2 linked regions of the Drosophila melanogaster genome follow. The protein of the gene in region 2 binds, or shares a complex with, the protein of the main gene of each other region. Each region holds a gene or a part of one and is shown on either strand. Other genes may lie near its edges.

Region 1 (3,625 bases), on a different chromosome or scaffold from region 2:
CTATTCACTTCATACACAAGAACTCACACAGTTCATTACCGAAAAAAACACTGGAGTAATGCTACTATCAGAAACGCACCTCACAAATCATTCAGATGGTAAAGCTCTTGGAGGCACTGGCATACTAATCAGAAATCGCATAAAAACCACCTCAATCTACGTCCATAGTCTAACTACTCAACAATGGTTCAATGACTCTAGCCGCAGTCTACTGCCCACCACGCTATCCAATACATACTGACCAGCAGACCCAAGAAAAATCCCAGACCCAGATCACACATAGAACTAACGCCGGCATTATCTGCTAAGGAAAATATAGACAAGTCAACGGACACTGTTGAAAATATTCTAGTTTCGGGTGCAAAGTGACGTATGCCCACCAGCACTAAGAACCTTTTGTAGAGAAAAGACAGTGATGAGAAAAGAGCCAGAGCAGTTGCTGACCACTTACAAATTTTATTTCTACCAAATCCTGCTATAAAGTCATTATTCTCCCTCCTTTAGCAGAAGCAAACTTAGATTATGTGAATTAGCAAAGGTTATCAAAAAGCAACTGAAGCGATTTTGGCTTCGACCTAATAACTCAAAAAATCCTTATTGAACTCCCAGTGTGATGTTCTGCACATGTGCTTGTTGTTCAACGCAATCGCCAAGCATGGATACTTCCCTCAAAAATGGAAAAAATCTACCATAGTAATGATTCCAATGCCAGGAAAAGATAAAACGCAGCCATCATCATATAGACCGATACAGTAACTAACTTATCTCTAAAATTTATTTGAAAAAATGCTACTCCTGGGAATAAGCCCTCGTCATGGAAAAAACATGGAACCATCGAACAGGCCAATCGAATCACGTCAGAAATTCGTACTGCTTTTGAGCATCGAGAATATTACACAGCCATTTTACTAGACGTCGCGCAGGCATTTGACAGTGTTTCTGGATGGACTTTTGCTTAAACTAGCCAAGCTATTGTTCCAAAACATACATAAGCTACTGAAGTCGCAATAAGATGCAAGGAACCTTCACTGGCTCATGCTCGCTCTCCACTTAGCGTGGAGTTCAAAGCTCTCCTATACAACTCCGTCTTAAAACCAATCTGGACTTATGGCTCCGACCTGTGGGGCATCCATTCAGCGAGAACAGCCAACAATTCTGAGAATTCTGACTAGAGCGTGATACCTTCGGAACGAAGACATACACAGAGAGAAAAAAATCAAATTATTTATCGAAATAATAACTGAGAAGAAAATTAAAATACCTAGTAAAACTGACCACCCATTCAAATCCCCTCACAAGAAAACTAATCGGAGGCACAAAGTGTTCGTATCATAAAATCTTTGTTGCTTTTAAAAACCTTTAAAAAACAAGAGAGGTAGCTTTAAAATTTTTCATATGACATCTTTAAGATATGGTGAACCGATTTAGATATGTTAAAAATTAAAAGAATAATTATCGTGAAAAAGGGTACGGCTGTTCTTACTGATATTTATACCCACTTAATTGGACTGAAATGCTTTTTTCACTTCGTTGCAAGCTTATAACTGAAATCGATATACCCTCCTCAAGGATATACCAAGATTGTGTGAGAGAGGTTGCAGACTACTTGGAGACCAACTGCTTCCTTGTTATAACCGAAATTGTGATGATTTTGAACAAGACAAGAGGGATCGATGTGCAACGTGTGGTCATATATTATGGAGATTCCACTGTTTCCGACAATCTTATGGTAGTTTATATCGTTGGAATGAAGACATTATTATGGCACAGTGTGAACAAGAATAATTCGTCTCATTGAAAGAAATCACGTTTTAGTGTGGAACTCATATTAATAGCATTTCTTTTTTTAAGAGAATAGTCGCTGCTGTGAGGTATCTGTAAATAAGACATAAAATCAATCGATAAATAAATGCTTATATATTATAAAAATCACCAACGGTCATTGTATGTTGATATTATGTTGATTATGTTATGTTGATATTAAAAATGTTAATCAAAATTTGAACTGGCTAATCAAACTTAATTCCATATAATTTTTTGTTTTTCAGAATTATTAACTCTGTAGTAAAATGGCGGATCGGCTTACACAATTGCAAGACACCGTTAATCAGGTAAGTGACTTCGTATTAAGAAATAACCAGTTTTTTATGTAAAATAATCATTGCAGCAAGCGGAGCACTTCTGCAATGCTATTGGTGTAATTCAACAAACGTCCCTTCCAAGTAAATTTGTTAATTTTGAACGCATTGGACCCCAAACGCCAATCCCATGTCCGCCGCAAGAAGACTATGCCCAATTATTTGCACAGTTAATTGCACGATGTGCTAAAGACATCGACACCTTAATCGAGTCTCTTCCAAATGAAGACAGCTCCATTGAACTCCAAAATTCTAGCCTTAAGAGGCTCGAGATCGAAAACCAGGGAACTGCAAGAGACCTAGAGGAAGTAGTGCAAAAAGGCGAACTTTTGCTAGAAAAAATGCAGTATTCTTTGGAATGCATTGCTCAGGCTCAATTAGATATGCAAATAACACTCAAACATGATTTACAATAGCTGCTTAACACATTTTTGTATAAAGGCAAATTATTTTTAAATTTAAGATAATGTATTTATTGCATTTTCGTTCGTGTTTACAGATCAAATGGGTTTTAGTATATACATATTGTTTTTATAAGTAAAGTATTTTAGCTTAATTTAGACCTAAACCATTTTGAACAGCACCTCTGACCTCGTTGATATAATTTTTATAATAATTAATTATAGTTTTAAGTTATAAAAAAAACTATATATACTTACACGTACCCCACTTTGGATTTTATGAACAAATTAAATTTATGTGCTCTAAAATATTTAATTCATTGTTGTAAATAAGTATTAGTTAAGTGTACCCCGACATCCTTGGGCGCCGCATAGACAAGGTATTTTTTCGTCTTCTAGTGGAAATTTATAGTCGTAAGTTATTTCCTCGTTGATACCAATGGGTTGCTTTGAATATATTACTATCTTCTTTTCAGATTCAATAGTTATAACCTTAGCGTAGCAATTCGGCTGAAAAACAAAATTTTATGTTGGTAACATAATGTCAGAACATCCAGCTTACTTACATTGCAACTGTGATTTATAAACCGAGCTAAGTTTCCACATTTAGTTGCGTCAATTATAGTTTCCATGTCAATTCGAAACAAATAGGAACTCCCAATCCCAATTGCTTCATACTTTGTTTCTCTTAGATCAGCAACTACAGGTCGAATCATCTGACCAACATATTCAATAACCATTTCGTCTGCAGCTATGGGCTCCATTGCAAATAATCCCCAATCATGTATCGCAGATTTTGCAAACTTAAGCTGTTTCTTCCGAAACTTTAGCTGATTAAATTTTAAAAGCTCAGACTCACCCATAGAACCAAAGGCTGTTAAAAGTCTTCTCTGGTTTGAGCGAGCTTCGCGGGAAATTCCTTGCATTTTAGAAATTAATTTATTGTGATGATGATTTGTAAGTGCTGTAGGTTCATCGCTCCGATCTTCATTAAAGGAATCTTCTGTATTGGCTTTAGCATAATGGTACTTATGCTTAGCCTTTTCTCGAACATCTAATTTGTAAAATCCTTCAGTTCGCGCACAT
Region 2 (3,774 bases):
ATACGATGCAGTTCTTAATTAAAAAGCGCAACCACAAGTTCTTTAAAAAATTAAGTTCAAAGTCAATGAGTTAAGGGTTTTCAAAATATTCCTATTCAACCGACTTGCACACTTGCAATGCTGCACGAGAAATGATCATCTAGAGCGCATGGCACCTCCTTTTATCGGAGATTACTTCAATAAAAGTGAAGATTCACTTAACTACATCTCTCTTATCGCGGGCTTTACAATCTAAGAAAGCTAATAAACGTATTAAACCATGTTTATTTAGAAAAACACGTTGGATTTTGTAAAGGGCACAGTGAGTTAAAAAAATTTTAGGGAAAACATTATACTCCAGTTGTGAATGAATATCTCTATTGACTTTTTAATCATGTTTATCAAACAAAATTAGTAATTTTGATGAAACTCCATACAAATTCATTAAAACCACATATGTATATGTACATTATGAAACGCACTGTACGAGCATATTTCGGCTAGCCACGATGATGCCATGCGGTAGCACCCATTAAAAGTAGGAAAACGTGTGAGGTGTTCATGTCTCATGTCATGTCACATGTCTTTACAATTTTTACAATTAAATATATACATTTATATTGTTATTCCTATCCTGAATAAATTGTTCTAGATAGATTATTAATTTATGACATTTGACTATATTATTACTCCACGCTGACTACGTCATTTTAATGGTGAAATTTGTGGGATGCTTAATCATGAGCCTTTATCTCGGATCTTATCTGTGTAAAGCTTATCTCAAAGATGACTTAACACATTAATTCCCATTGAATGAATTACTCATTAGACGTGCAAGATTCTCATCCCACAATTGGGGTTTTATTTCTTATACTAAAAGGAGTTATAAATATGAGGAGCTCTTTTTTCCAAGCCATTCACAATGATTGACACTATTTCCAGCGTCGATGTCCAGTCTTTTGCCAACTCAGCTTACTCGATAGCGTCCACAAGCTTGCACAACATGCGATCGTGCTGGTAACTGGGATCATTCTTGGCCGCCGCATTCGCCTCCAACGGATCCACCTCCGTCTTAATCTTTGCTCCGCCGCTATCGTCGTCATCATCTAGAACCGGCAGAGCTGAGAAGGCGGTATTAACGATCTCGCGCACACGTTCCAAGTGCTTTTGGAAACGGGCGGCGGTCTCAACGCGCTGCCGCTTCTGCATTTCCATCATGACGCGCAGCGTTTCCCTCGCCTGATGTGGGCGAAATTCATTGAGGAGGTGATGCATGTTGACGAACAGCAGACTGATATCGTCAATCTAAGATATCAAATGAGTGTAATACAATAGATGCTACATTTTAATGGGTCAATTGACTCACCTTTTCCGTGCGCCGCGGGCTGTCAGGATTCAGGATAAGAAAGTCAATGAGATCTAGGAAGTTGACCAAGAGGGAGTGGTTAAGCTTCTTGAGCTCCTTGCGCCGATCGAAATGGATGGGGATCAGTCGCTTAATATTCTGGGACTCCAAGCTGCGGATCATCTCGTCGTTGTTGTACTGGATGCCAAACATGCTATAGACTTCGTGCTGCGCCGGCGGCGGCGGTGGGCGTGGCGCTCGGTTGCGGCGGATATTCTCGTCCGTGTAATTGGCGATGTACCGCTCCGGCGGCATCGGCAGGCTGGAAACCTGGGTCTCCTGGTTGGACATTATGAGATTAACAAGTGCGGAAATACAAAAATAATAAATGATTTTTGTTTTGAAGAAGTGATGGCACCTGAGACAGGCGAATCACTCACGATAGTGATGACACTATCACTCAAATTGTTTTCTTAAAAATGAGCACACTAGAGGTTTGAAGCTAGACAATGCAATAATAAGCAGAATTTATTATAATATGTTTTGAGACACTGACAAATAATTTACAATTACAAAAATTAAATTAGATATTAATCGAGCTCGAAATAATAAATGATTCACCGTGCCTAGCTATCGATAACTTAAAGGTGACCATGCTTGCATGCACCCCCTACAGCATTGCCATAGCAATTTTTCTCCGTCTCTTCCCTCATTCGTCGGTAGAGCACAACAAAATAAGAAACACATATATATCTTGATGTGAATAGCTAATTGTTCCAGCACCGATTCGCGCCAATATTCCTGTTCCTGCCAAAGAAATGAAAACAAAACGTAAAACCATAACATAACTGGACCCAACTAAGAGACAAGCCGTGCTGCCTCCACCATTTTGATTTCCCCACTCAGCGTGTGTGCGTGCTTGCAGTGCTTGTGCACGATGCCAGTAAAATGTGCAAAACCGGACATAAAACAAACTTTTCCTAGTGTCATCTAGTGAGCCATGGAGCGGATTTTGCCTGAAGAAGCGGAAGCGGGTAAGCATCCAGAACTTAGGTAACCAACGCAGGACAGCCCCAGGCGTGATCTTCGTTTCCCATTGATTAAGTCAGCGCTATTTCCAGTATACCGCGTGTGTTGGTGCTTCTATGCGAGTGTGTGTGTGTGTGTATGGGGAGGGCCGAAATAAACAATAAAGCGGATCTGCGATTGGGTGTGTGGTTTTTGCTTAAGTAAATCCAATCGGTTTCTATTTAATTCACAGCCTACTTGAGCGAAGCGCGGGAGCAGATATTGGAAATAGCCAAGAATCGGCCGGGAACCCAAGTGGCCAAGTGCATCCGCGCCTACGATGAGCAACAGGACCTGGCCTCGCTAGTCGTCCTCCTCGAAGAGCTCTCCAAAAACACGGACTACTCCACGGACCTACGGATATCACTGGGATATGTGAGTGTTGAAGACCACTATTATCAAGATAAGCAAAACCGCCGAAGAGCAGAAAGATCAAAATAAAAGTGTGACGCAACGTGCGTGGGTTTTACAGTCATGCCTCGATAACTGGTATTTTAACTAAAATTATATAAATGGGTTTTCAAGAAAATCTATTATTTTATTTACAGTGAACACAAAAGCCTGCAGATCCTCAAATACATTGCTTATATTTTCAGTATATTGAAGAGCTACTGCGCCACTGCTTAGGACGAAATGATGTCTCTCGAAGATCGGCCATCGTGGCCGCAGGAAGTGCCCTCCAGTACTGCGGCAAGATCTATGGAGACCGAGTGGAGTACCTGTGCCAGGTGGTGGAGCACCAGATCGAAGCCCTGCTCACATCGGAGTTGCAGAAGGAGACCCCTAGCGGAAGTGCTGCGTAAGTTTAACTCAGAACTGAAGAGTTAAGAAGATGGAGAAAGACAAGGCCACGTGCTCCCCACTTGTCGCCATTGCTGGCTCTTTTCGGTCCAGAATTCCGCTTATCGAGCTTCACTTTACGCCCCCTTCGGCTTTGTTTGCATTAATATCACAGAAGCCGGCTTGCCGTTAATGGACGATAGGGCACGTTCTCGTGCTTCCAAAAACAAATAACAAACAGAGTATATAAAGAAATGAGAAATTAACCAGACAAGTGAAGCTAAAAACGTAGACAGTTCATTCATAAAAATAACAAGTTATTCAGAGATAGATCACATCCTAAATAAATATTTTTACATTATAATTCACTTAAATTCTTTCTTATCAGCCGGCATTAAAGAATTTGGGGAGATTATTTGACCTAAATGTTGAAAGTCTAATTAATTTTAAAGATAGCACCAGTATTTTGATTAAACATAAGATGATTTCATTATAATATTTAAGTTACATAATAATCAGTCCTTTAAAAAAAAGAAATCTTATCCTCTTTTAATCTGCATTTAGCGATATAATAATTGTTTTCCTTTCATATTTACAGACCG

Evidence for each region. Proteins that work in one complex are often made in the same cells at the same time.
Region 1: MED7 (region 2) and MED21 share a complex: the UniProt entries of both Drosophila melanogaster proteins name them as parts of the mediator complex.

Annotation. Positions count from the first base shown.
Region 1 is NT_037436.4:25,114,148-25,117,772, reverse strand, and holds MED21 (mediator complex subunit 21), read left to right. Parts: upstream 1-1,826; 5' UTR 1,827-1,944; exon of another isoform or gene 1,945-2,048; 5' UTR 2,049-2,069; coding exon 2,070-2,111; intron 2,112-2,167; coding exon 2,168-2,554; 3' UTR 2,555-2,849; downstream 2,850-3,625. Other genes in the region: Set1 (SET domain containing 1), read right to left, coding at 2,876-3,049, 3,106-3,625. UniProt on the Drosophila melanogaster protein: Component of the Mediator complex, a coactivator involved in the regulated transcription of nearly all RNA polymerase II-dependent genes.
Region 2 is NT_033777.3:10,759,259-10,763,032, forward strand, and holds MED7 (mediator complex subunit 7), read right to left. Parts: upstream 1,775-3,774; 5' UTR 1,676-1,774; coding exon 1,346-1,675; intron 1,285-1,345; coding exon 952-1,284; 3' UTR 813-951; downstream 1-812. Other genes in the region: Cap-H2 (chromosome associated protein H2), read left to right, coding at 2,325-2,358, 2,586-2,767, 2,989-3,191, 3,771-3,774. UniProt on the Drosophila melanogaster protein: Component of the Mediator complex, a coactivator involved in the regulated transcription of nearly all RNA polymerase II-dependent genes.